Mus musculus: one gene and its partners. Each later gene encodes a partner of the first gene's protein in a complex. Links are inferred from orthologs where the notes say so. Each region holds a gene or a part of one and is shown in the gene's direction. Other genes may lie near its edges.

Region 1 (3,694 bases):
AGTTCAAAAGAGAAGAAAGGAGGAAAAGGTTAGAAAATGGTAGAAAAAAGATCAAGTCTTCTAAAAATAAATTTTAGAAATTTATAAAGAAATGCAAAAAAGTAGATAAATGTAAGAAAAAGAATTTTTAAAAAACCACTTTAAGTGATACTTTTTAAGTTCATTGGTAAGAATATCTGATGTAGCAAAGATAGTCTGACCTGGGACCTACAGCACCACAGCTCTGTTTCCTCAGTCATCATGAAGACAGCTTTTCTTTTTACCCTTTCGTTCACACCTTTTTAATGCCTCTTTCTGACCATTTTAGCGATTTGCTGCAGTCATCATGAGAATAAGAGAGCCACGGACAACTGCGTTGATTTTCAGTTCTGGAAAAATGGTGTGCACAGGAGCCAAGAGGTATCCTTAAGGAATGCTTTGTTTCTAGTGGGTGTATTATGAAAGAAAAAAGGCTCTAGCGTCCTTCTGTTATCAGGCTAGCACTTTTCATGTTATTTTTGAATGGTTTGCTCTGATTACTCTGCATAGCTTTGGTGCCCCACACTGTTACTCCTGATCTCCTGGGCTCTGGTTGTAGCACTGCCATTCGCATTCTGATATTCAAATGAAAACTCTTGAGTTGGAAAATCATAGCTTTATCCAATAGTGGTGTCCTAAAAATGGATAGAGATTTGATGTAAAGGAAGATAGAATTTGTATTTCCCAATAATACATTTTACTAATTTTTTTTATAAAGATGAAGTTTTCATTTCAGTAGAGATTTATAGGTCATAATGAGGTGATGACGGTGGCCATGCTAATTGAACCACACACTACATCGAGTCCTTTAAATCTGAGGGCTTGACAGTAATGTGCCACATAGAAGGCTTATGTTTTGGTAGGTTTATGGTTTCTGTTGAGGACACGGAGATAGTTTAATTACTTTCCTAATTTAGACTCTGTTTGTTATTCATCTAAATTACTCTATTAGGCTTCCATATATAACTCACTGATTTTCCTTTCTGTAGTGAAGAACAATCCAGACTAGCAGCAAGAAAATATGCTAGAGTTGTGCAGAAGTTGGGCTTCCCAGCTAAGTTCTTAGACTTCAAGATCCAGAACATGGTGGGGAGCTGTGATGTGAAGTTCCCTATAAGGCTGGAAGGCCTTGTGCTGACCCACCAGCAGTTCAGTAGGTAGGTCTAAGTAGTATGGGGAGTAGTTTTCCAACAGTCCATTTATAACCCACTCAGGCATCATTTCAGATGACGTACATATAAGATGTGCAGTTTCTAAGCATGTATGACATAACTGCAAGTTAAGTTAAGGTATTGCTACATTTGAGCTACTGCACTCTCCACTGTCTTTACAATCCCTATTTCCTTAGTCACATGACACCCAGACTCTCTCACTGGAATGATTTAGCTCACCTCTGTATGTATGCCTCACCATTTTGTTAGTCAGTAAGTAGATGTAAATACATGAATTTGTAGTTTCTTCTATCACTTTTCTCCTAGTTTGAATCTTTTTTTGTCAGCATACCAACACAGTGTAAAGATGAGCAGCAGAGGTAGACTGCCCAGTATTATTTCTTGCCTTTCTCTGCCTGAATATTGGTGGAGCATCCCTACTCACATCCTTATAACATCTGTTTTCTCTTTGCAGCCACACCACTGAGCTTACCAGTTCTCTCGTACTCACCAGGTTCCTCTTGCTCCATGGCCTCTGCACATGTCACTTTTAACCCTGACATATTGGGTACAATTTTCATCATAGAAACTCCTGTTTGAGTTTCAGGAATTCACTCATGTTGTCTTCCTCATATAGACCTGTCCTGAGTTTATCTCTGGATCACTCACAAGAAAGGCAGATCCTTTTGTAGACTGAACTAAGAAACCTGAAATCGCTGTGTTAGAGTATGTTAACTAATGTCCGTTCGAATAGATGGTATGACCAGGGAGTCGGTTCATGGCCAAGCTCATGTCTGGTTTCTCACTCTAGTTAAGGCACCTGTTAGAAAAGCAGGCATCTCCAGGAGAGTTCTGTTCAGGAAGGTGAGATGATTACAGGGCTGACTGCCACTCTTAGCTTAGGAGTGAATGGTGAGATTTTGATAAGGTGCTATAACTAGACTAGCTTTAACTGCATCTAAATAAGGCTCAGACCGTGTGTATACAACTCTTGTTTTTATCACAGAACCTCTAGAGTCTGAAGATAGCATTAAGTGATAGGAGGACATGTAGCTAGTAGTTGGTGGCTATGTCCATGACTCATGGCTCCTGGCTGGTTTCTTCCTGTGTGTCCTACTTGTGACACCTGGATTCTTTACTCAGGACTTTCTGGCACAAAGCCTCTTGTATTCAGAAACACAAAGAACTGGTGATTTCTAAACTGTATTCCCATTTTCTTTCTAGCTATGAGCCAGAATTATTTCCTGGATTAATCTACAGAATGATCAAACCCAGAATTGTTCTCCTTATTTTTGTTTCTGGAAAAGTTGTATTAACAGGTAAGTTGAAAGGAAGTGGATGAAACTGCAAAGGATGTTGGGGTGGCATTTTCTGTGTTAGAACAGTTGTCTAGCCATGTGTAAGGATGCTTTTTAAGTTTTGCACACCATTCTAACCTTCTTGAGAAGGGTAGAAGAATGAGAAGAACTGCAGAGGCCTGCTGCTGATGTAGCCGTCAGCTAGATTAAGCTTGACTGTGGGAGCAGGCAGGGATGGGACACTGACTGTTTTCAGTTGGCCCTTGCACCTTGGGGGTTAGTAGAGTATGATTACAAGACTGAGAAGAGCTCAATTGAATACCAACAGTTGGGAGAATAAGATTTCAGTCCTCAGTGCTTGTCAGATACCATGTCACTCAGGTCCAAGTATGGGAAGGAACTAGAGTAGGAAGTAGATATTGTCTTGCTGACTTGTGGATCCTGATCTCAGACCAACTATATAGTGAGGAAATGATGGTCTAGGGTGTTTAAAAGTCGCTAAGTGTATCACTTTTTTTTTTTTTTAAAGATTTATTTATTTATTATATGTAAGTACACTGTAGCTGTCTTCAGACACTCCAGAAGAGGGCGTCAGATCTTGTTACAGATGGTTGTGAGCCACCATGTGGTTGCTGGGATTTGAACTCCGGACCTTCGGAAGAGCAGTCGGGTGCTCTTACCCACTGAGCCATCTCACCAGCCCGTGTATCACTTTTTAAAACACTTAGAAAATACTGTTCTAAAAACATAGCTGGAGAGCTAGCTGGGCATGGCCCTTAATCCTAGTAATTCATAGGCAGAGGCATGGTCTATGCAAGTTCCAGGAGAGCCAGAGCTACATAGAGAAACCCTGTCTCAAAAAAAGGGGGTAGAATAGTGGGTACAGCTAGGATGGTGATAAGGGGATTCCACCATTTGTTTGTCTTAACTAGGTATAGAGAGAACTGTATTTATGTTTTAAGGTAATGATGCTACTTCTTAACCATCTCATTTCTGTTCCATGTGTCTTTGTAGGTGCTAAAGTTAGAGCAGAGATTTATGAAGCATTTGAAAACATCTACCCCATCTTAAAGGGATTCAGGAAGACCACATAGTTGTCTGCCATGTTCTCCTGCCTTCCCTATCCACGTGTTTTTTAAAACCAGTCAGTTTTGGTACCACTGATGGTACAGTTGGTGAGGACACTCAGTTACAGGTGGCAGCATGAAGTGACACTGTGTGTCCTAC
Region 2 (4,455 bases), on another chromosome or scaffold:
ATATTTACTTTCCTGATGTAAGTGGTGGGAGCCAATGGCTCAGACACAGGGTAGAGAAACGTGCAGGGGGAGAAACGACACGGAAAGCAACAGGCTAACGGTGACAATCATGCTGAGTGTCATGATTAAGGCCATCCTGTATTCAGAAATTGTCAGGCCCTTTAAAGTCCCTCAAAATTCTCAAATCCATGACAGACATATTGTACTTCTTACTGTACAGAAAAGGAAACAAAATTTATTCAAGATCATTCAGTTGTTACATGGCAGAAACAGGATTCAAAAGCAGGTTCAAGCCAGGCATGGTGGTGCACATGTTTAGCTCCAGCACTGGAGGCAGAGGGCTGTAAAGGCAAGAGGTTCTCTGTGAGGTTAAAGCCAGCCTGGTTTACAAATCAAGTTCCAGGATCGTCAGGGCTACATAAAGAGACATGTGTCAAACAACAGCAGCAACAACAACAAACTCAAAGGCAGGTCTGTAAATCCAGAATGCACCCCACCCTAAGCTGAATCAGCAGTGAAGAAATGGCCCCTTTGGCTGACACCAGGAAGACTTCAGAATAATCCTGCAGCACCAGGAGAAGTGCCCATCTTCCACCTAGAGGGGACTTCTCTCTTCCAAATATATTGCACACAATATATTGCTAATTATTAGGTACTTATGATATACCACACTTTTACGATATACTAGACTAGTAGGGTTCAAGCACAAGGCTGGCTTTACAGCTTTGCAAATAGTTCATTCAGTCACATAGGACCCTATATTCATACTGATCTAACCACACACACAGGTCTTTGTTTGCTTTTTTTGTTTTTATTTTTTTTTCTCCGTGGTGCCATGTACACTAGGCAAGCTCTCTATAATCCAGTTATATCTCTAGGCCAACAACTTTACATTTGAAATGTGTTTGTCTATGAGAACTCAAGGGATAGTAATATCTGCCCTCTCACCACAGATCTTGTCACGCACTCAATAAGGTGTTTGTAATGTTCCCTTACAACTTAGTCCTAGTGGACCTGCATGGGTGCAAAGCCAGAGTCAATGCTGCAGGATTCCACAGACTGTTGGACAGTGTGTGCAGGGGTCAAAAAGTAGAAGGTGCCGGGCGTGGTGGCGCACGCCTTTAATCCCAGCACTCGGGAGGCAGAGGCAGGTGGATTTCTGAGTTCGAGGCCAGCCGGGTCTACAAAGTGCCTTCCAGGACAGCCAGGGCTACACAGAGAAGCCCTGTCTCGAAAACCAAAAAAAAAAAAAAAAAAAAGTAGGAGGCAAGTGAGGACACAGGGACAGTACAGAAATCCATAACACATGCCACCCTTAGTCTGACAGAGAGCTTGGCACACTGCGGGCTCAGTCACCACAACAAATCGACGCTCACCTGGCCCGCAGTGTCCTCCCACTTGCAGGAAGGCCTTCTTTCCACTCAGGTTCGAACACAGGTTTAGTCTCCTGCCAGTCTTTTCTGATAGCTCTAGGCCAAGGGAGAGCCGGGGTACCGCCCCTCCCGGAGGCCCGCCCACCACACGCACAGCCACGCCCACCAACGTGTACTCACGCGAGATTTCGTCCTTGTCCTAGTCCGGCTGCTGGGCGCCGGGAGCGCTCTTTTCGACGCGGCGGAAGAGGTAAGCGGTTGTTCACTGTGGCCGCTCAGGTCTGCTGCGGGCGACGGGGCCGCAGGGCGGGGTTCTTTGGGCTGCGGTCCGCGCGGAAACGGCGCTCTTGTAGGGCCAGAGCAGCGGGCCGGAATCCCGCCATCCGCAGGCCGCACGAGGCTCCGGGTCGCTGTTGGGAGAGGCCGAGGTGTTCTGGGCCTGGAGGGCGTTTTTAGTGCCGTGTAAGGGGTCGCGTGCTGCCTGCGCACATCTCTTAGGTTACGTTCCGAAAGGGTCTTGCAGCGGGCCCACGGCGCATAGTCGACGCAGCTCACCACGTGGCCTCCAAAGCTTGTAGTCTCGGAACTGTAAAGTAGCGTACAGGTGGGAGTGATTCCTAGGAATTATCTTTGATTTACTCACAGGCATATCGTTGGGGCGACCGGGTCAACCTTAAATTTCAGTTTTGGTGGGTTAATTTAAAAAAGCAATTCATGTAGCGGGCATTTTGCAATCTAAGGTCGTAGTCACCCTGTTTTTCTTATCCTCGAAAGTTGTGATTATTTTTAGTTCTAGGATTTTGTGTAGCCTAGGAAAACTGTAGTCTTTTCTCCTTTAGTACATATGGCCGTTTTGCCTGCCTAATATTTCTACACCACGTGCACGCAGTGCTCACAGAGCCCAGAAGAGGACATCGAATCTCTTAGGACTGCTTACAGCTATTTTTAGGCTGGCATGTGAGTTCTGGGAGTCTCATCTTAGTCCATTGACAGTATTCTATTCATTTCTTTTTTGGGGGGGGAGGTTTCGAGACAGGGTTTCTCTTTATAGCCCTGGCTGTCCAGGAACTCACTTTTTAGACCAGGCTGGCCTCGAACTCAGAAATCCTGCCTCTGCCTCCCGAGTGCTGGGATTAAAGGCGTGCGCCACCACGCCCGGCCATTGACAGTATACTTAACTGCTAGGCTATCGTCTCAGCCATAATCTAAAGGTTCTTTTACACGTTGTTAGGATTACAGGCCTGTGACCATTTGATCAGTAGTGATTTTTGAGCCACTATCGCCATATCCCAACTACCCGAACTCTGTTTCAGTGTCGAGTTCGCAGCCCAGATTGGAATTAGAAATGCTACTGTGAGGCTAGGTGGTGGTTAAAGCCATGTCGGGTTTTGGGGGTAGATTTAGTGAGAAAACAAACTGCATTGGAATGTGGCTTCTTGTTTTCACTCACATATTTAAAGAAAACTATGCCATATGTGTGAGGGTACTCTGGAAGACAAAAGATCACTAACAGGGAGCTGGAGTTAACAGGAGATTGTGAGCAACCCGATGTGGATACTGGAAACAAGCCCACTCAGAGGCTTTAAAGTAGATATAAAATGTACTATCCATAGGGATTTTACAGAAATTCACACAGTGGGAAGGAGTATGCTGAACTTAGACTGCTGGTACATCATTGAAATCTGTGATTGCAGAAAATTGGGAAAGGCCGCGAAAAGTGATGGCTCAATCAGAAGTGAATTCTGTCTGTGTGGCATCGGATAGAGCTGGAGATACTGGAGACCAAAGGTAAGGTAGCTTTTGTGGGTAAACTAGAGATTCAGTCCAAATGTTCAATTTATTTTTGAGACATCTCAGTAGATAGAGCCATGGCTGCCCTCACCCAGGTAATCCTGCCCATCTACCTCTCAAGAGTTGGGATTAAAGGCATGTTACCACACCCTGCACTCCAGCAAGTTATTTGTAATGCTTGTACTTAAAATAGATAGAGAGAACCTCAATTAGCATTTATATTAGCTTGACAGTTTGATTAAAACTGTATAATTCTACCAACCTGAACATGTAGGAATGGAACATAGTTTATTTTTTCCAAGAAAACTACATTTGGGGGGCTAGTTCTGGTTTTATTGGCCCATTTTTGTTTAGTAGGTAGATAGTGGAAGCTTTAGTGATTAAGTGGTGCTTTTGAAAGTTAAAACTGAACATTTTAACCAACTGTCTTGTTTTAGATATAATAGTAAGTACTAGTGGTTAACTGGTACTGAATCTATTCTAAAATGCTGGGTATGATTTTAGGGGGTTGATCTTTGAAGAAATGCACTTTGAAATTTTAACATGGTTTTTAGGTTTGTCATGCTTTTGTCTGGTGTTCTAAGGGCAGTAAAGGCTGTTGGAGCTGTGAACTGAAGGAATGCATGATTGGGAGCATGGCCTTGAAACTCGGGGAGGATTATAGCTAATGATAACTGATGCAGTTTCATTTTTGTTTTAGTGATGACTCCTCTGATGGCAGCTTATTTAAAACTCAGTGTGCTCCTTCACCTATACAAAAGCAAAGACACCCTACTGTGAAACGTGTTACTTTACCTGCAAGTGTTGAAACAGATTCATCAAGTGACTCTTCTATAGAACCAAGGCCTCTGACTTTAAAGGCTATTTTTGAAAGATTTAAAAAAAAGAAACGGAAAAAGAGGAAAAAGAGAAAATATGAGCCAAAATTAAGACCAAGAGGAAGACCAAGAGGAAAACCATCGGGAACGAGGATCACTAGAAGGTCGCAAATAGATGCAAAACAAATTAAAGACAAAGGAGCTGTGTTTCCATTCTTAGAATCTGAGAGTGGAAGAAAACCTTTACCTTGGAAGAAAATTTTAACATATGAGGTGAGTTTTTTTTTTAAATGTAGGTGAATACATTAGGTAAGATTGAATGGTTTGTTGGCCATTCTTAATTGTTTGAGGGACACCTGAAACAGATTGTTACTTTTAACAATAGTGACATCCATATAAAGTGCTCCAATTTTCATCTCTTGCATCACTAGAGAAATGTGCACAAGCATATTTATCAGTGTGCACACAGATTT
Region 3 (4,313 bases), about 12 Mb from region 1:
ATGTAAAGGACAGTAAATAGTTGGTTTTTCTAAATGTTTGGGCTTTATACTACATTTGGTCATTGTTTTTCCTTTTCAGTAAATATAGGCTCATTGCAAATAACTCAGAATACAAACAAAACAAAACAAACCTCAAAATCCAGCTAGTAGCGCTTATCCCAAGAGTGTCTATCTGGGAATATTTGTGCAATGTCCTCATGGACATCAGTGTCTCCCGCTGCACTGATCTCACCTATGTGTGAGTCACACCATCAGTCCCTGCACTTACTCTGGCTAGGATTTTTTTTTTTTTTTTTTTTTTTTTATTTTTTTTGGTTTTTCAAGACAGGGTTTCTCTGTATAGCCCTGGCTCTTCTGGAACTCACTTTGTAGACCAAGCTGGCCTCGAACTCAGAAATCCGCCTGCCTCTGCCTCCCAAGTGCTGGGATTAAAGGCGTGCGCCACCACGCCCGGCTTGGCTAGGATTTTTTAAATTTTGTTTCTTTTAACAACATCGTGTTCCATCTCTGGGAACATCTCTACATCTTACCCATTTCTTTCTATGATAAAATACCTGTATAAACACACTGGTATAAATGTTTTCAAAGATGTCTCAACATATTTCTAGACTTAGAAAACTGTGATTTTGTTTAATTGATCATTTCAAGTTCATTGGTAATAATTAAGGTTTTGAGTTGTTTTGTTTGTTTCGTTTGTTTTTTCTCCATCTTGATTAGCCATTGATATTTTTGTGAATTTCCTATTAAGTGATGGTTCATCTTCTAAAACTGGCTCAGCCATCTTTTTATTTATTTAAAAGAGTTAACTATAAAGAATAAAGGGGGTTAGAGAAACTGCTCTGAGGCTAAGAGCTATCAGCGCTAACAGGACCAGTAAGACCCAGCACTCATGTCAAGCTGCTTACAAATGCCTATAACTCTAGGTCCAAGGGATCTGGCTCGGCCTCTGGTTTCCATGGACACCTGCACAAACATGCACAGACACAAACAGACAGACTTACATTGAGACGTTTGTTTGTTTGTTTAAAGAAACACAGGGCTAGTGATTGGCCCATGAGGTAAGGGCATGTGCCATCAAGCTTGACACCTGAGTTCAATCCCCAGGACCGCGTGATGGAGAGAGCTGGCTTCCTCAAGTAGTCTTTCACCACGGATGCCCCTACATGTACACCCAGCACACAAGCATAGTAAGCAGACTCAATAATTTAAAATGCAAGCATTAGGGCTGACGCTGGAGCTCAGTCTGTAGACTGCAAAGCATTCAGGAACCAGATGTGCTGGCACATCTGGGGTCCCACACTCTGGAAGGTAGAGCCAGGAAAATCAGAAGTATAAGGTTATCCTTGATTTCCCTGTAAACTTAATGCTGAAGAACCCTGATTTGAACATAAATTTCTCTAGTAGATGTTTACTGTCAGTGTGAAATCCAGCCGACATAGAGTCGGATGTTATCTCCTCACATTGCTGTCTCTTAGAACAAGCAAAGGGCATACACCACCATAGCCAGCTGCTTCTGTCTAATGAAATTATGTTTCCTTTTTCTCTTTCCAAAGTTCCTTAGGGGTGGGAACCTTGCCCTTCCTCAAGAGCACAAAGCCTTAAGCTAGAGACCCTTTGAAACAGTGTTTGTCTGCCGCTTGTGTTTGTTGACTTAATGAAGTAGTCATCCTCATTAACCATCTTAATTACTCAAATTTTTTTGTCTAGAATCCTGGTCTCTTCTTTTTCTGAGGAGCAGCTGAACCGTTATGAAATGTATCGCAGGTCAGCTTTCCCCAAGGCGGCCATTAAAAGGGTAAGATTGTGCGTGCGTGCGTGCGTGCGTGTGTGTGTGTGTGTGTGTGTGTCAGTCACTACAGTGCAACAGCTGTGTCCATCAGCTCTGAAGTGAGGCGTGTGTGAGATTGCTTAGGAGGGAGAAAGAACCACCTCTCACCATCTGGCCAACTCCAGCAAGTCAGTGCCTATGAACCTTTGGCGGGTTTGGAATTGTTTTGCTGTTTTTTATTGCTGTGTCTGCGAGTAAATGAATACATGTATGTGTGTGCCCGTGAGAGTCAGAAGAGGGCATCAGATCCCCAACCAGATTAGAGGTCGTTGTGAGCTACCCACTGTAGGTGCTGGGAACTGAACTCTAGGCCTCTCGAAGGGCACTCTTAACACTGCGACATCACTGTAGCCCAGGTCATTTGGCTCTTGGCCGTCATTTACTGCCACTGCATTCCAGGCCAGCCCTGACCATACTAACACCAGCTTCTTCTTTTTTCCAAGCTGATCCAGTCCATCACTGGCACCTCTGTGTCTCAGAATGTTGTGATTGCCATGTCTGGCATTTCTAAGGTTTTTGTCGGGGAGGTGGTAGAAGAAGGTGAGTAGTGTCGGTCACAGCCTGTACTGCTCTCACAGGGATCGCATTCCCAAGAGTACCTCCACCGAGGCATGTAAGGGATGTGGGAGTTTCCAGCTGCTCGCTTTTCAGGTGGAGCCTATAGGGAGCCTCATCTTAAGGAGAGCATGGCTGTTTTTATTACTGGGTGCGTGGAGCTGGGGGGAGGGGATGAGGCCATCTAGGAAATCCCTCTCCATAGCCCAGGGCGAAGAAGACAGCTCGGTACTTTTCATCAGCAGACCTCACTTCAAAAGCAATGCCTTGATAGCAGCGCCCTGCTGAGAGCTCTCCCTGTCAGGGAGAAAGCTTGCTGCTTCTCATGGCTAATTTCTAGCTTGTGGTATAGTACAGTCCCTGTGGGATAAAGCCAAAGCCAGTTAGAAATACTTTATAACTTCCTTTTTTATGTCTTTCTGTATTGGTGAGGTAGGGAGAGGGTTGGTGCTTTTTGGGACAGGATTTCTCTGTGTAGCCCTGGCTGGCAGTTTTAGAACTTGTACTGTATACAGGCTGTTCTCAAACTCACAAGAGATCCACCTCTCTCTCCTCCCAAGTGCTAGGATTAAAGGCGTGCACCACCACACCCGGCTTATAGTGTTCTCTTAAGGAAAAACACTTGGCTTGTTTCTTTAGCAAATCTCACAAAAGACAGAATTACATCCTGAGTCGTGACTAGTGAATCTCATGTGATGATACTGTTTCCTTTCCCCACCCCAGCCCTGGACGTGTGTGAGAAATGGGGAGAAACGCCACCCCTGCAGCCCAAGCACATGAGGGAGGCCGTCCGGAGGTTGAAGTCCAAGGGGCAAATCCCCAACTCAAAGCACAAGAAGATCACCTTCTTCTAAATCTAAGGGAGACTGTTCCAGACTTCTCAGAGTCGGGCTTCTGTCCTGGGGCTTTGGTGGTGGTGAGCTCGGGACGCAGGATGCCGATTTTAATGTTTCGGTCACACCTACAAGGCATGCAGTGTGACTCAGACTTGCCTTCACTCAGTCATGGACTGTCCTCAGGCATGTTGAAGACTTTTACTGACTCTTGGCTAGTTTGAAGAAAAAATATACAGGGGCCTTTAGTATCTTCTGGAGAAGGAGATGGTTTCAGAGAAAAACAGAACAACTCTAGTGGCTTCATATTGAAACCTAAAGTTGCTAAGATTCAGGTTGTTTCTTGCTCTGGTTTTCAAAACATAAACTTGCGATTATCTGCGGTGAAGTCACCGTGACACGCTTCTCACCATTAACATTTCAGGTTCTCCTATGGATTTTGTGAGGGATCATTAAACTTTTCCAACCTGTGTGGGAAAGTTTATTTTATTTTGTTGCAGACAAAACTCATTGTTCTTCCTATGTTGAAATAAAACTTGGCTTTTGTTTTTCAAGACAGGGTTTCTCTGTGTTGCCCTGGCTGTCCTGGGACTCCTTCTATAGACCAGACTGGACTCGAACTCATAGATCTGCCTGCCTTTACCTTCCCAAGTGCTGGGATGAAAGGCATGTGCCACTACCACCCACCTTGGTATTTGGTTTGGGGACGTCTTTTTCCTTTCTTTAACTCAGGGGTCTCACTATGTAGCCCTGGCTGTGATGGAACTGATTGTGTAGACCAGGCAGGCCTCAACCTCACAGCACCACTATGCCTGGTGCTTTACATGTAGAAAAAAAATCTGTTTTTGAGACCGTCTCATTATATAGCCTTGGCTGGTCTAGTACTCACAATGTTAACTAGGCTGGCCTTGAACTTGGGAGCCTGCCTGGGGCTCTCAAGCTGCTCGGTGACCATCACACCTGGCCCCTTTCCCAGCAGCCACAAGAACCTTGAGCTTGGACCTGGAGAGAATGCTCAGCAGTTTAAGAGTAGAGGATTCAGCCGGGCGTGGTGGCGCATGCCTTTAATCCCAGCACTCGGGAGGCAGAGGCAGGCG
Region 4 (2,973 bases), on another chromosome or scaffold:
GATTCTCATAGCTCCTGTTTCCCCATTTCTAAACTATCGAAGATGTGTTTTAAAAGAACTCAGTACCCTGGAAAATATTGGGTCCTACTGTGGTGCTATAGCAATTTTTTTAATGTATCTCAGAGTCACAAGTCTGCTAATGTCAAGTAAGGTCAGCCAGCAGCAGGACCAGCCATGCATGGTGGCTTCACCCACTGGACACCCCCACTTGGGGGACGCTGCTGGTTCTTTCCCCATGGTGCAGTGTCCCCCAAGTTAGAGCTGGCAGTCAGAGACAGCTTTCTCCACATTCCTCTAGAACAGTTTCAGGTCAAGGTGGATTGCTTTATAGAGATTTTTGAAATAGTAACTTTTGAGCAAGTCCATGCATACAGCAGAACATGCCCAGTCTTGGTAAGCCCTCACAAAGAAACCCTGGTCGTTCACATATCGAGTCAGTGCAGTGCTAAAGGCATAGGACGAGGACACCTTGCAAAATCTGTAGTGAAGTCATATGCTGTCTTACTGTGAGGACATTTAAAAGGAAGCGTGACTCGGCGCTCCTTTCCAGTGTCCATGCAGTTCTGATAATGTGACATTTGAGAAAGCTGTCCAGTTAGGAGCGCTCCCTGTTGAGAACGAAGTCAGAACTTCCAGAACACACAGCATTTGGAGCATAATAATCATTTAGTTCGTTGGCCCCATGAGCCTCTTCTTTCCTCCGCCCTTTAGTTGATTGTGCTTTTCTAAAATGTCATAAAGGGAATGGAAAGTTACTCAGTAACAGCTCTTTTCCATCCTTGATCTTATCACCTAGCTCAGGAGCAGGGCCTGGCTAATGAGTAATGACGGCGCGCATGCACACTTGACTGTCTGTGCTAGACCGTGGCTGAGGGGATACAGAAAGCTGAGGGCTTTCTAACTCTCACTTGCTTCTGCCCGACACCCCATAATCATTGGGGGTTTGTGAGCTTATAGGATTCTTAGGTGAAGCCGACTCAGGTTGTGTTCCACGGTTCCCAGAGATGACTCTGTGATGCTTTGCTTTTAGTGATTTATAAAGCAGTTTAGAATGTGCATTAGAAATGTGTCCTTCTATCCAGGCATGGCAGCACACACCAGAAATCCCAGTTCTCAGGAAGTAGAGGCAAAGATTGCAGTTCAAAACCAGCCTGGACTATATAGTGACTGCCAAGCCAAGCCTGCCTGAGCTCATGAGATCTGCCTCAACAACAACAATAACAACAAATCGGAGCGGGGTGTGTGAGGGAGAGTGTAAGAGTAGGGGAAACTGAGAGGGAGAGAGCTAGGAGAGAGTGAGAGGAGGGAGTGTGTGAGGGAAGAGGAGGAGGAGGACGCTGTTCCTGAATGACCAGGTGTTCTCCTCTTTATGGATCCAGAGCAGAGGCGACTGATGGTCGCGTACAACAGTGCTAATGCATGCACCTAGCTTGTTGGTTTACTGTGGCCAGTATAAAGCAGCATTCTTACCTGCTTCTTTCCCCCCACACCATCTGTTTCTGCTCTGCACTTTACCACCAGATCCGTGATGAGTGGGGCAATCAGATCTGGATCTGTCCAGGGTGCAACAAGCCTGATGACGGGAGCCCGATGATTGGCTGTGACGACTGTGACGATTGGTACCACTGGTGAGTGCCCCCACCCCCGAGTGTCAGACAGCAACGCAGGTCGAGCTGGAGCAGGTGTCCTCCCCAGCTAGCATCTTAGACGGACTCAGCTCCTCTCTTGACGACAGTCTAATGGAGCCTGCAGAGTAAAGTGACTGAAGAGTTAGCTGTGCTGTTGTTCCAGAGCCTGGCCCGTGGATGCTCGGCTTCAGATATATATCCTCTCTTATAAAAATACGTAAGGGTGTAGGGTCCCCCTCCTCCCTGTCACTGGCATTGGGAGGGAGAGCTACAACACGTGTCTGTGTGGGCTTGAGAAGAGACTCAGACAGCAGGTTTGCTTCTGAAGCTTGCAAAGATGCTCAGCCAAAATGTGTTCAGCTGCGTTTCATTCCTAAGCTGCCTCTTTGGATCTGATGTGTGCTGTCTACGATAGACCCGAGCCGGGTGAGCTGGGCTGCTGCTAACTTCAGCACTCTAATGCTGAGAATCACAAGTTTGAGACCAGCCTTGGCTACATAGTGAGTTTGAGGTCAACCTGGGCTATCTTAGACTCTTTCCCACCCTCAGCCTCTACTCCCAAATTAAAACGTAAAAGCAAAGCCATTTGCATTATACTATTCCTGATGGAAAGTACAAATAATCTATATGATCTCGCGATACAGAAGGCATTATATAATATAGCCTAAATAACCAACATTAGTGCAAAGAACCTTTGGGTGAATTTTTGGTACATACATCATTTTTTGTGCTTATTTCTATTGTGGGAGTGGAGCATGCTGTATTGGTTTGCACATCATTTTAGCCCATGCATGTGAAGGTCAGAGAACCACTGAAAGGAGCCAGTTCTCCACTTCTAAGCCCATCATGTGGCTCAGAAGACTATGTTGTCAGGCATCGTGGCCAGTGTCTTTATCTGTTGAGCCGTATCACCATGTCTTAAAAAAATCATTTTAAAGCATCAAACAAAGAAGGGATTGGTTTAACTCAGTTGGTAGAGTGGTTCCTTAGCGTGCAGGAGGAGCCTTAGGGTCCATCCCCACAGCTGCAGAAGCTGACTGCGAGGGTTCACACATCCCAGCTCAGGAGGTAGAGGCAGGAAGACCAGGAGGTCACGGTCAGCCTTGACTGTACCAGGAAGAAATGACCCCTTTGAAAACATGGCACAAGAGCTGAAGAACACTGCCTGCTCCTCCCGAGCAGGGAAGTCCCGCACCCCAGGGGAGTTCACAATGGGCTGCAGCTCCATTGACAGGAGTCAGACATGCTCTTCTGTTCTCAGGCAGCACCAGGTACACAAAATGATGCGCAGGCAAAATAACACAGAACACACATAACAAAACAAAAACTTTAAACTTACTTTTTT
Region 5 (4,438 bases), on another chromosome or scaffold:
CTGGAACACCACCATAAGTTCTTTGGTGCATTTTTCACTATGAAGTCACAACAAGCTAAGATCAGCGAATCAAGCAAGGCGAACCAATTGCAGGAGCACTGTCCGCCGTCTGTTGGGTTATACTTATGCTCTTTCCAAACATATGTCCCCTCAAGCATCCGCCGTAGCAAAACATCACACGCCCTTTCACTAGGCAGTTTTCAGAAAAACACCCTGCGCCTGTTCTCGGCAAAACACCGTTACATAAGACAGTTTCCAGAAAAACATCACATGATACAACTGAGTCCCTAACAAAACCAGAAATTCCCACTTCAACAAATGTCTGCTTAATGGCATTTGATTTCCATTAACAAATAAAATGCTTACTGAGTTTTCATCTCAGTGGAAGACACCCAACTTGCAGTTACCTTAATTCAGACTTTGTTGGGAATGGTTTATTTACAAGAAAGTAGCACTGTTGCCTTAAGGTAAGAGGACGGGAGCTGAGACAAGGTCTTGTTCTGCAGGTCAGGCTGGCTTGGGATTCATGACCTCCCACCTCTGCACCCTAACTTCTAGAATTACAAGGGTGACCCCCAAGACCTGCCTTGTGAGGCCCTTGTATAGACGTTAGCTGTTTTATTACATTTCCTATACTCGGTTTTCAGTCAAATATTCGATGATGATTGGGGAACAACAACAACATGGGTCATAGCAGGGCTGTCTCTTGCAATTCTAGAAGGGTTTGTGAGCCAGATACCCTCCATGCCTACACTGTTGAGATAAAGGACATGTAGGAACTTTGAATCATGTTGGCCAATGACAGAGCTTGAATTGATACCTACTCCTGAAGACAACAACTAATTTCTCTTTTTATTCCAAATTCTTTAGTCAGGGCAAATGAGACATTCAATCAGATAGGGAAAACTGACTTGAAAATAAAGGAAAGGAATTTGGTGCGAGCGCTTTGCCCCTTTCAACCAACCTGGTTTCCTTGTGTGTTGGTTATTTTGTGTGTTTGTTTATTTAAAGGTGTTTTTTGTTTGAGACGAGGTCTAACTCCAGATCCTCCTACCTTCTTGGTGCAGGAATACTTGAGAGTATCACCCGAGGAGGCAACTCCCATTTTAATTTCCTCTGTTTGAGAGCTAGCTCAGGCGCAGCACATTCTGAGTCTTCTTGGGTTGATTTTTTGTTTTGATTTGTTTGAGACTGTGTGTGTCTGTGTCTGTCTGTCTGTCTGTCTCTCTCTCTTTATCTCTCTCTCCCTCCTCCTGGCTGTTCTGGAGCACCCTGTGTGGATCAGGTTCCTCTAAACTCACAGAGATCCTCCAGCCTCTGCCTCCGGAGATCAAAGGGGTGTGCTATCCCGCCAGGCTTTGAAGATTTTGCCAATCAACCAGCAGCCGGGAGCCACGCAGCAGCAGCGGAGACAACCAGGAAGTACACAGCCCGCGTCGTCAAGGACCGAGCGCTTTTTAGCCCTCCTCCCGACCCGTAGCCGCGCGGAGTGCGCGCGAGCGACTCGCGCATAAAAGCCCGGCTCGGGGCGTCTAGGAGCCAGTGCTGCTTCCTGCTTCGGACGGAGCTGTTGGCGGAGCCGCGAAGATGGCGTCGACCAGCCGGTGAGTGCAACGGCCTCGGAGCGAGTGGAGCAGGGCATCGCGGGGCCCAGGTTCCTCCAGAAGGCCGCCGCGGGTGTCCCTTACCCACCTGAGTCATCGCCGCCCGGGTTTGACCCTGCGGATCCGCACGGCCCCGGCCTCCGTCTCCGGACCCTTCAACCGTCTTTGTGTCATGTTGATGTTTTCTGTGTATTTTCTCCCTTACGGCCCATCCAGCCGGAGGGGGCTGAAACCCCGTTTCCGAAGAGCTGGAAAAGCGACGTTCCAGGTCCCTATCGATCTGACAACCGCAAAGTTGAGAAACGTCAGCATTGGTTGTCTGGTGGCAAAGGGTCGCTAGCCCAATGGCCCCCCCAGAAGTGGAAACGAAAGCACATACGGAGACTTGATTCATTCTCCTAAAAGACCCCCTGTCCCCACCCCGAAAAGTATCATTGCGTACTCTGAAGGAGATGCTGTCTGCAGAAAATTAATTACATATGCTGGAAGTCATTTTAAATGTATTTTTAAAACGTAGTTTGCTTAATATCTACAGGAAATGCGTGTTGTGACCGCAGAGACAGCCTTTAATCTTGTGACCTCCAAAATGCTTTGCAGACCCTAATTATATCTCTTGTAACCACTATGAGGTAGATATTAGTATACTGGCATATGTGTAAACTGAGTCATGCCAGCGTGTTGACCTTTCGCGGGCCACTATACCTATTCTGATTATCCGTCCACTGGTCTCCAGTTAACACAGAATGTACAGAAAGTATCAAATTAAGTTCTGTTCTTTTGGCACTTTTTTTTTTTTTTCGGAGGTGGTTACTATGTGTGGAATTGGTAAACGTCACCGGGGGAAGCCATTATTTACAGAAACTTGGCCTTTCTGGGAACCTCCAAGTCTGCTGTTTATTATAAAAAGTGGGAGGTGGGCATAGGAAGCCTCGTGAACTTCTTGCGTGGAAGCAATGGGCAATCTTGTTTACTGATTTTATGATTTAATTAGATTAATTATGATTTAATCATTCCATCTGGGTGTGGTTTTGTCACGTAAGGCTTCCTTGTAGCGACATAGGAACCTTCAGCTTCCCCAAATACTATTGAAATTTCCCATGGGTGATGTGTTCATATGTAGGCACAGCTTACCATCTTAGGGAAAAGGAACTCCTGTATTCTTGAAACACAAGTTGTAGTGTTTAAATAGTACACATAGTAAAATCACTGGTTACAGTTTTTAAACTTTTCTTCACTTAAAAAAATCCCTTGAAATTAATTTCTTTTCTGGACAGCTAGTGTTTGATTTTGAGTTAGTGGTCTCGAATCTTCTGTCTCCACCTTGAAAACTGTGGGGTTGTAGATCTGCCCGGCCCTCATCCAGCTCTTAAGTCTGTGTCATTCCTGTTGCTATCAAGTTTTGCCAGCAGTGTGAATAGAGAGAAGTTGCCTGAGAGTTTGTCATACCTTGAGGGCGGCATGTAGGCACTAAGCATTGGCACTGGTTGGTGTTCTCGAAGAGAACATGTCCAGATTGATGCCCACTCTTTATTCCGACGTCAGTAAATAACTTTTTGGCTGCGATCTGTAAAATGAAGATTGTGCCTATCTTTTAGGATGTTGTGCACATTGAGCATTCAAAATGTTTATGGGCGGGGGAGGGGGCTCCATGGTTAGGAACACTGGGTGCTTTTCCAGCACCCACATGGCAACTCATGAACTCCTAACTCAATTCCAGGGCATCTCTTCTGTCTCTGTAGGCACTAAGACATACATGCAGACAAAATGTTCATATTTAAATAATTTGGATAAATAAATAAATAATGTTTAAGGCGGTATCATTTAAATACTCTGCAAAGTTTTTCATGTTTCCCTCTTTTAAATGTTAGGGATTGAAACCAGGACTTATATATACTAGGCACGCATCTTCCACTAAGCTCCATTCTCAGCCTCTTTACCTACTTTTGTCTTTGAGGCTGTAGTGTCAGCTGCCTTGGAACTCCTATGTACAGTTATCTGCTGACAGTGATTCCCAGCCCCTCGGCCTACTATTCCATCCATCCATCCATCCATCCATCCATCCATCCATCCATCTGTTGAGACAGCCTCACTCTAGTCGATGTATAGTTCCTAGGGTAGCTTTGACTAGGTAGCATGCCTAGCTATTTCTGCTTCCTGAATACTGACATGTCCCATCACAGCTGGCTTGATAGACTTGTTAGTAGTGCCAAACTATGTTAATCCTTAACATACTGTTAGGTTAATTTCCTGCTTTGTTTATTGAGAGCCACTCTTATTTTGCTAACATTTTACTTTATTTCTGCAGCTTTTTGATTTTTATGAAATACTTTATTTTTTTAAGATTTATTTTTTTCTAACAAGTTTGCAGAACAAGTATAAAGCAGTTCCTGTCCTCTCTCATTTTTCCAATTAGAAGACTCCAGGATATGTTTTAATGAAGTAAATAAATCTGTGATTATTTAGTGAATTTTTTAAAAATCAGTTTTCCATGTGACTTAGTTGTTGGTAGTTAGGGAGAGAGACCTGTGGTGAAGGGCACTTGTTGCTTCTGCAGAAGACCTGCACCCACATGGTAACTAGTTCCAAAGTATCCCTGGGAACTAACCATTCAGGCAGTACACCTGCACACGCGCAGGGAAAACACCTATAAGACAAAAATAAATATATCCTTAAAAATAAGTCAATAAAACACAATGTGGTTGTTAAAACATTTTGAATCGTACTAGCTAGCAGGAGAAACTTGATCCAAAACCACAGAAGCATAGTTAACTATAAGAACAGTTGATTTTGTGTTTTAGGTGTGTGCTTTCCATGACTGTAATATATAACCGTTT
Region 6 (3,694 bases), about 32 Mb from region 1:
CTGGCTGAATCCGGCTTCTCTCAGTTTCTTACTGAATTGCTGGACTTGACCTCATACTAACGTGGGCAATCTGTCTAATCCTCTGGCTCCTTGTCCTCTAGCTCGTTCTGTCTTCACCTGTGTCTAGCTTGTTCTCTGTATAACTGTCCCACGAAAACGACCTCCCTTCCTCTTTCTCTGCACTACCCCTGAAGTAGCTTCCCTTTCCTCTCTCTCCTCATGAGGGTTGGGCAGATCCTATTTTGTCAAACCTTTCTCTGATTCATCACTTTGTCTGCCACTCAATTAGAACATGGGTGCTTCCTTCTACAAACTAACTTTATCTTCATTGTTTGGGATTAAAGGTGTGTGCTAGGGCTAAGCCACACCACAACTAGAAACAGGTTTTTCTAGTAAACACCACAATCTCAAGGTTCACAGTATGAACAAATATCCTGCAACAGAATCTGTGCTGCTGTGTGTGAATGCACACAAGTGCCTGTTTGAGCCCTGCCTTTGGTCACTTGGGCATATAAATAAATAAATAAGTGTATATATATATATATATATATATATATATATATATATATATGTACATACACACACACATACACACACACACACACATATATATATATATATATATATATATATATATATATATATATAGCATAACTGGTGGCCCACCTGGTAATCTTATTTTGAACTTTGGAGAAACTCTGGCCTTTGATCCTTGTAGACATCTCAGAAATCGGGAGAAGTGCTAAGTCATACTGTGAGCACACAGCCAGGACCCAGCCCACACTGTCGGACATCGTGGTCACATTGGTTGAAATGGGTAAGTGTATCTCCGTTGTAGGATCACCAGAGAACGGGGAAGCCTGGGGGGGTTTCCATGTCTGCTGAGTCTTAATTCCATCCTATTTCCCCTGATCTGCTTTTAGTTAGAAAGGTATGAGGAAGGAGTCCTTGGACCCTGTCTCAGAGACCTCCCAAGTCCCTGTGGGAGTTCTCTTGAGAGGCAGAAGAGTGGCTAAGCTGGGATTTAAGTCCCCATTCCACACTGATAGCTCCCCTTTCCTGTTCAGTATCACGCCAGGATCAGAACATGGCAATGACTAGTTTTCTTGTCCCTAGGCTTCAATGTTGACACTCTACCTGCCTATGCAAAACGGTCTCAGAGGATGGTCATCACTGCACGTAAGTGGCTTTGAACTCTGATACTTAGTACGTACTCAGTGATTGTAGTGTGCCTTGGAGGGAGGAGAGGGCAGGCACCAGAGAGGCAGCTGTTTTCCTGCTGTGGGCTCCCTCCCTCCCAGTCCTTGGAGTGGTGAGCTGCTCACAGACTGGCTGTGTCCATGCAGTGGGATTAAACTGTGAAGGTCAGTCTCCAGGCAGCTGCACCATGTCTGAGCTGCTGCTGTTACATTTTAGCCCCGAAGAGCAAATGACCATACAAAAAACTGTGACAGTTCTTGCTTCTCTAGATGAGGGTTTGCAAGGGCTGGGGTCTGTGGACAAAGTGTGCTTGCTTTTGTTAGTAACAGTTTCTTGGCATACAGCTTATTTACTCACCGTATGTGATTGCTTTCACGTGGCAAAGGCAGAGGTTTTCGGTTTGCTTAATCTGAACTGTTGCTATTTCGTGGATGCGCCTGTAATCCTAGTACTTGTGAGGAGGTGGGGGTGCTCTAGAATTCTAGTGTACTGTAGATAGGGAGGGCTACGCTAGCCTGAGCTACACAGGTGGACTTGGGCTCAAAAAAGAAGCAAACAAAAATCTAAAATACTTATCATGTATCCTTTTATATAAAAAGATTTATTTAGTCTGCTTTAGATAAAAGTGGGTCCCTGCCGGGCGTGGTAGTGCACGCCTTTAATCCCAGCACTTGGGAGGCAGAAGCAGGCGAATTTCTGAGTTTGAGGCCAGCCTGGTCTACAGAGTGAGTTCCAGGACAGCCAGGACTACAGAGAAACCCTGTCTCAAAAAAAAAAAACAAAAAAAAGGGGCTGGTGAGATGGCTCAGTGGGTAAAAGCACCCGACTGCTCTTCCGAAGGTCAGGAGTTCAAATCCCAGCAACCACATGGTGGCTCTCACAGCCATCCGTAACGAGATCTGACTCCCTCTTCTGGAGTGTCTGAGGACAGCTACAGTGTACTTACATATAATAAATAAATAAATAAATCTTAAACCCCCCCCCCCCAAAAAAGTGGGTCCCTTATGCTAAGTAGGGAGTAACTGCTTTAGTGTTAGGACTTGAGGGGGAAACTTGTTTATGTTTGGTTTGGTACAGGTACAGGATTTCTTTCTGTAGCCTTCGCTGTCCTGGAACTCACTCTGTAGACCAGGCTGGCCTCGAACTGAGGGATCTGCTCGCCACTGTGTCCTGAGTGCTGGGGATAGAGGCGTGCAGCACAACCTCCTGGCTGTACTCGTATCTGTACGTGTGTGCATGCTCATGCCGCGGCATGTGGGTGGAGGTGAGGACAACGTTGAGGACAACGTTGTGGAGTTGCCTGTCTCCCTCCACCATGTGCCTCTTAGAGAGTGGCTTGGTGACAAGCCCGTTTCCCCACTGAGCCATCCCCACAGCCGCAGAGAGAAGCAGCTTGTCACAGATTGAAATATCAAGCAGGGTTGGAGACATTAACTAGTTGCGATCTGTTGCAGCTCCAGTGACCAATCAGCCAGTGACCCCCAAGGCCCTCACTGCAGGGCAGAACCGGCCCCACCCGCCACACATCCCCAGCCATTTTCCTGAGTTTCCGGATCCCCACACCTACATCAAAACTCCGGTGAGTTTGGGAGCTGCCCAGGGCCTGTGCGTGTGTGAAACATGACTGATGGAGGTTGCAGGGGAGAGTAACCTTCAGCTCCCTGAGGACTTTCCTACGGGGATGCCATCTTGATATGCAATTACCCCTTTCATCATAGCCCTTGGAAGGCTGAGGCTGAAGAGTTGCTGTGCATTTGAGGCCAGCCTGAAGTACAGAGTGAGATGTTGTCTCACAAAGAGAGACAGAAGGGGAGGAAGCACAGAGTAAAGCAACCTGGCCAGGAAGAGTTAGGGTTTATTTGAGAGGTTTTATGTGTGTGAGGGTTTCATCTGTGTGTGTGTCGTTGGATCACCTAGAATTGGATGTGGGTGCTGGGAATTGAGCCCAGGTCCTCTGAAAGAATGGCCAGTGCCATTTTAAAGTTATTTATTTTATGTTGGTGAGTACACTGTAGCTTCTTTTTTTTTTTTTTTTTAAGATTTGTTTTTTAAAGATTTATTTATTTATTTATTTATTATATGTAATTATATGTCCTCAGACACTCCAGAAGAGGGAGTCAGATCTCCTTACGGATGGTTGTGAGCCACTATGTGGTTGCTGGGATTTGAACTCAGGACCTTCAGAAGATCAGCTGGGGCTCTTACACACTGAGCCATCTCACCAGCCCAAAAGATTTATTTATTACATTATTTATTATATATTATTTATTTATTATTATTATATGCAAGTACACTGTAGCTGTCTTCAGACACACCAGAAGAGGGTGTCAGATCTCATTACGAATGGTTGTGAGCCACCATGTTGTTGCTGAGATTTGAACTCAGGACCTTTGGAAGAGCAGTCAGTGCTCTTACCTGCTGAGCCATCTCCCCAGCCCCCCACTGTAGCTTCTTTACACAACAGGAAAGGGCATCGTATCCCATTACAGATGGT
Region 7 (4,432 bases), on another chromosome or scaffold:
ACCCATCCACCCAATGCTTCCTTAAATACAAATTACCATCTCAATCCTCAGTTTTCATGCCTTTCCACTGAACACTGAATAAAATCCACCCCCCATTTCCACCTGTCCCTTCCTGTCCCCTAACCAAACTTCAGCCTTACTGCTCATCTAGTCTTTTTTTTTGTTTGCTTGTTTTTTTGAGACAGGGTTTCTCTGTGTAGCCCTGGCTGTCCTGGAACTCACTCTGTAGACCAGGCTGGCCTCAAACTCAGAAATCTTGCCCATGCCTCCCAAGTGCTGGGATTAAAGGCATGAGCTAGCACTGCCTAGCGCCTGTAAACTCTTAAGGACAATGATGACTGACTTCCCCAACAGGATATACCCAGCACACAGCAAAAAACAAAAACAAAAACAAAAAAACAGTTTAGTACATCCAAGGATGCAAGCACAAAAACTGATTGGCCAAACTCTGAGAACCATGATAGAAAAATAAAGCTGGGGCTTGAGAGGTGGCTTTCTCTCGAACCTGGCAGTCTTGCAGAGGGCCTGGGTCAATGCCAGCAGTCACATGGTGGCTCACAACTATCTGTAACTTCAATTGCAAGGCTTCAGATACCCTCTTCTGACCTCTTTGTGCACCAGGAATGCACATGGTGTACATATATAAATGCAGACAAAACACTTTTCCGCATAAAATAAATCCAAAAAGAAAAATAAGGTTATAAACAGTTTGCCACTTAATGGTTAAGCCCTTGCATCCAGGATTTTGGACCAAGAGGGTGGATGAGCCTAATGGGATGAAGATACAAAGATAGAATGGATTCTTTATGGGCAGGAACCGTTGATAGCTCTGAGATGTCAGACTTCTATACACTCGTTTGCGAGATCTCTATTTTACTAAGAATCCTTGCCGGGGACTGAAACTGCCTGTTGCTTACATGCCTAGCAAAAAAAAAAAAAAAAAAAGTACTCAAATCTCAGGGCTTAGTGGTTTAACAGTTACTGTACCAGCCCGGGCTTTGGAGTAAGAATTTTCAATTCAAGTTGAGAACCTACATCCCTTAGGAATTTCACGTTTCTTCCACTATTACATGACATACTCCAAGTGAGGGACTGAACCAGTCCCTCACAGACAGCTCTCGTCCAAGTGTATGTTGACTACAGATTAACTAATAGGCACAATCAGCTTCTCTAGTCTCCAAGTTCTCGTGCTGGTTGAGAGTCCCATAGTTGGTATCTATGCAGAACTGCGGTCCCATCCTTATAGCACCACAAAGGCACCAACCAAAAATGGCGACTTGGAAGCTCTCCGAGGCCGTCGGTTACCGGTCACGCTCGTGAAAGAGATGAGTCGTAAAGAAACATCTAGGACAGGGATTCACGCCGTGGTAGGGGACGCAGAGTAGACCCACGCCACCAGCAAGCCACACAGAGCAGAAAGCCCGACCTGCCAAGCCAGGCGCTGGGCTCACAGTCCTACCACGTGTTGTAGTACCATCTGCGCCTGCGCTAGTGAGGCGCGCGCCCGGCGGCCGGAAGAGCCGCGCGTTTCCGGGTTGGAGGCGGGGAGCGGTGCCGGAAGTGCTTGGGGAGGGCCGCGCAGTCGGACCGGCTGCTGAGACGAAAGCTTCACTGGGGCAGTCTCCGCATATCATGGGGAGATAGACGCTGCTGCCTGTGAGTCTTGGGCCCTGGCAGTTGAGGACGAAGAGCGGGAGGAGGGTGTCAGGACCCAGACCCACAGCGGGTCAGTGCTGGAAGAACTAGGCTGTGGAAGAGACGGGGCTGAGGAGCCCAGGCTCTTGGGACGGGACTTGAGGGGTTCGGGCTCGCAGAAGCAGCGGCTGTTGGGGACTCGAGCTCTGAATGAGAGACTTAGGAAACGGGGACGGATGTGGATTCTGCAGCATCTGAGGGAAAGCCTTCTGAGAGGGACAGGATGGTGAGGATCCCGCACTTTATAGGAGGCGAGGGTAGGAACGAAACGGGGCGTGAAGACACAGGCTCCAGAGAGGTAAAAGTGGAGCCCGAGAGGACTCGGGCTCCTAAGAGACAGAAGCGGGACAGTAAAGTCCCAGCTCCTAAGGATTCAGAAACCGGGCAGCAAAGACTTGAGGACTGGAGCTAGAGAAGGAGGCAGAGAAGACTTGAATTTGAAAGGGAATCGAAGCGGGCAGTGAGGACTGGGTCTTCTTTGGGGACAAGATCCGGGCTTTCAGACTCAAGAGTTTCTGGAGGGACAGAGATGTAAGGACCCGAGCTCCTAAAAGTGAAGGAACTAGGGGGTCCTTAACGGCTGGGAGATCAGCCTTCAAGGGAGAAAAGTTGAAAAGGTTTAGCGATCTGTTCTCTGTACCCGGAGGATTAGGATATATATATTCGGGGGAAGACTTCTTGGCGCTGCCTATTTGGCTTTTGGCATTTAGGCTTTTTCTTGTGTCCGTTACTTAACCTAGAAAAGCCACATGAAACGTCTTCGTTTTTCTTCATTATTGTGAATCAGATGTGAAGCTGAAAGCAGTTTGAACTCAGTTATATACTTGATAAGTACCTTAAGCCCTGTTCCATTCAGCCCCCGTTGAGCACAGATCTCTATATCACTAGCAAACTGTCATAGATGGAAGGGCAGCAAAAGAACACTTTGAATTCTTTTACATTTAAGAAAAAGAGGATGCAAAGAGGGATTAGGATCACTGTGAGCCAGATTCTTAGGTTATACAGTACTCTACCATGTACATCGAAGAAGAGATGCTTGCTTGAAATTATTTGAATAAATGCTTTTAGAATCTCTACCCTCAAACTCAGAAGGGATTTTTTTCTAACGGATTTTAATATTTTAGTACCTATTATGTATGGCATTGGCATAAATGTTACAAGGGAGGAAACAAACTTTTAAGTGAAAAGTCTTTTATTTATTTTATTTATTTATAAATTTTATTTTTCAATAAGATGTTGAGAAATTCACAAGTAAATGTGGCCTAGAACATTTTCTAGGGATTGCTTTTAGAAGAGTGACTTGGACCCTGTCATTTCCCTTCATAAAGACCCAGGACTGAAACCTACTCAGATGAATCGTGCACAACTTAAGCACTTTGGGCTTTTTGTTCTGTTTTCTTTTGGTTTGTTTGTTTGTTTGTTTGTTTGTTTTCAAGACAGGGTTTTCTGTGTAGCCCTGGCTGTCCTGGAACTCACTGTGTAGACCAGGCTGGCTTCAAAGTCAAGTCCACCTGCCTCTGCCTCGGAGCGTTCGGTTTAAAGGTGTGCACCTCCACCATGAACAACTTAAACACTTTTAAGTATTCCACCCCTTCCTTATCACAGCCCCACAGTTAAGTATGGTTAGTCCTGTTGTCTGTCCAGAGAGGTTAAGGGGTTTGTCATAAAGTACTGAGTAGCTTATCTGCAAATGTGCCTCCAAAGCTTTCTTGAGCTTTTCTAAGTGGATTTCCTGCCATGTGTAGTATGCATGTGAATGAAATATAAGTAATATTTATAAATCCTTCCACTGAATGAAAGCACACCCCTCCTCCCCAAACTACTTAGCTCCCCCTAGCCTGGAAATTGCTGTGTAGACCAGGCTGGCCTCAAACTCAGAGATGCACCTGCCTCTGACTTCAGAGCGCTGGTGATTCAAGGCTACATCACCAAAACCAGCTTCTTAACTCCTTTTCAAGTCAAGGACTGTAACTTTTAAGATACTTCCATAGTATTTGACATCTGAATTCCTGTGTTTTCACAGAAGCATAAATATTCCAGGTAGAATCTTTCCCATAATAGAGTAGGTTATTTTTATTTATTTATTTTTTAATTAGGGCGACATCAGATTAACTTTGCAGTTAATTGCTAGCATATACTCGATGTTGTGAATGCTCGGGCTATAATTCCATTACATTGGAGGTGGAGGCTGGACGATCAGGAGTTCAATGTCAACATAAAACTTTATCTCAAGGAGAAACAGAAGAAGAGCAGATCAGGTGAGGTGGTTCTCCTGGTAAGGTGATTGCCACAAGGAGTGATGATTTGAGTTCAGTCCCTGAGTCCTGCATGGTGGAAGGAGAGAACCAACTCCCAAAATTATCCTCTGACCACATCAGCACAGACACACTGAATAAAGAAAAGGTTGTTTTTTTTTTTTTTTTTTAACATACTTGAAGCTATTATTTTCCCAGGAGCTTAGCTGCTCTATTATTTTTTTTAAGGTTTTACTAAAGGTGATGAGACCCGAACAGCCAGCACACAGAGAAAAACCATCCACAAAGCAAAGGGGGGATTTTTGAAGCCAAAGCCTCTGGTACCATTTTTAAAGATTTGTTTGTTTGTTTATTCATTTCTTATCGGGAAGGGGCATTGAGTCAGGGTCTCTCCGTGTAGTCCTGACTGCCTTGGAACTCTGCAGACCAATTCTGCTGGCCTCAAATTCACAGAGACCCTCCTGCCTCTGCCTCCTTATTTT

The links.
Region 2: Tbp (region 1) and Taf1d share a complex: the UniProt entries of both Homo sapiens proteins name them as parts of the transcription factor SL1/TIF-IB complex. The link is inferred for Mus musculus from reciprocal best matches to the Homo sapiens genes TBP and TAF1D.
Region 3: Tbp (region 1) and Taf11 share a complex: the UniProt entries of both Homo sapiens proteins name them as parts of the TFIID basal transcription factor complex. The link is inferred for Mus musculus from reciprocal best matches to the Homo sapiens genes TBP and TAF11.
Region 4: Tbp (region 1) and Taf3 share a complex: the UniProt entries of both Homo sapiens proteins name them as parts of the TFIID basal transcription factor complex. The link is inferred for Mus musculus from reciprocal best matches to the Homo sapiens genes TBP and TAF3.
Region 5: Tbp (region 1) and Gtf2b share a complex: the UniProt entries of both Homo sapiens proteins name them as parts of the TFIID-containing RNA polymerase II pre-initiation complex. The link is inferred for Mus musculus from reciprocal best matches to the Homo sapiens genes TBP and GTF2B.
Region 6: Tbp (region 1) and Taf8 share a complex: the UniProt entries of both Homo sapiens proteins name them as parts of the TFIID basal transcription factor complex. The link is inferred for Mus musculus from reciprocal best matches to the Homo sapiens genes TBP and TAF8.
Region 7: Tbp (region 1) and Taf12 share a complex: the UniProt entries of both Homo sapiens proteins name them as parts of the TFIID basal transcription factor complex. The link is inferred for Mus musculus from reciprocal best matches to the Homo sapiens genes TBP and TAF12.

What each region holds. Positions count from the first base shown.
Region 1 is NC_000083.6:15,513,223-15,516,916, forward strand, and holds part of Tbp (TATA-box-binding protein), read left to right. Parts: intron 1-307; coding exon 308-399; intron 400-1,007; coding exon 1,008-1,175; intron 1,176-2,393; coding exon 2,394-2,488; intron 2,489-3,481; coding exon 3,482-3,561; 3' UTR 3,562-3,694. UniProt on the Homo sapiens protein: The TFIID basal transcription factor complex plays a major role in the initiation of RNA polymerase II (Pol II)-dependent transcription.
Region 2 is NC_000075.6:15,304,661-15,309,115, forward strand, and holds the start of Taf1d (TATA box-binding protein-associated factor RNA polymerase I subunit D), read left to right. Parts: upstream 1-1,553; 5' UTR 1,554-1,623; exon of another isoform or gene 1,624-1,788; intron 1,789-2,209; exon of another isoform or gene 2,210-2,330; intron 2,331-3,067; 5' UTR 3,068-3,093; coding exon 3,094-3,161; intron 3,162-3,864; coding exon 3,865-4,255; intron 4,256-4,455. UniProt on the Homo sapiens protein: Component of the transcription factor SL1/TIF-IB complex, which is involved in the assembly of the PIC (preinitiation complex) during RNA polymerase I-dependent transcription.
Region 3 is NC_000083.6:27,900,583-27,904,895, reverse strand, and holds the end of Taf11 (transcription initiation factor TFIID subunit 11), read left to right. Parts: intron 1-1,707; coding exon 1,708-1,795; intron 1,796-2,271; coding exon 2,272-2,368; intron 2,369-3,106; coding exon 3,107-3,237; 3' UTR 3,238-3,770; downstream 3,771-4,313. UniProt on the Homo sapiens protein: The TFIID basal transcription factor complex plays a major role in the initiation of RNA polymerase II (Pol II)-dependent transcription.
Region 4 is NC_000068.7:9,916,758-9,919,730, reverse strand, and holds part of Taf3 (transcription initiation factor TFIID subunit 3), read left to right. Parts: exon of another isoform or gene 1-1,521; coding exon 1,522-1,628; exon of another isoform or gene 1,629-1,746; intron 1,747-2,973. UniProt on the Homo sapiens protein: The TFIID basal transcription factor complex plays a major role in the initiation of RNA polymerase II (Pol II)-dependent transcription.
Region 5 is NC_000069.6:142,763,685-142,768,122, forward strand, and holds the start of Gtf2b (transcription initiation factor IIB), read left to right. Parts: upstream 1-1,562; 5' UTR 1,563-1,587; coding exon 1,588-1,604; intron 1,605-4,438. UniProt on the Homo sapiens protein: General transcription factor that plays a role in transcription initiation by RNA polymerase II (Pol II). Involved in the pre-initiation complex (PIC) formation and Pol II recruitment at promoter DNA.
Region 6 is NC_000083.6:47,495,663-47,499,356, reverse strand, and holds part of Taf8 (transcription initiation factor TFIID subunit 8), read left to right. Parts: intron 1-718; coding exon 719-817; intron 818-1,116; coding exon 1,117-1,179; intron 1,180-2,654; coding exon 2,655-2,779; intron 2,780-3,694. UniProt on the Homo sapiens protein: The TFIID basal transcription factor complex plays a major role in the initiation of RNA polymerase II (Pol II)-dependent transcription.
Region 7 is NC_000070.6:132,272,832-132,277,263, forward strand, and holds the start of Taf12 (transcription initiation factor TFIID subunit 12), read left to right. Parts: upstream 1-1,543; 5' UTR 1,544-1,656; exon of another isoform or gene 1,657-1,726; intron 1,727-3,791; exon of another isoform or gene 3,792-3,953; intron 3,954-4,432. UniProt on the Homo sapiens protein: The TFIID basal transcription factor complex plays a major role in the initiation of RNA polymerase II (Pol II)-dependent transcription.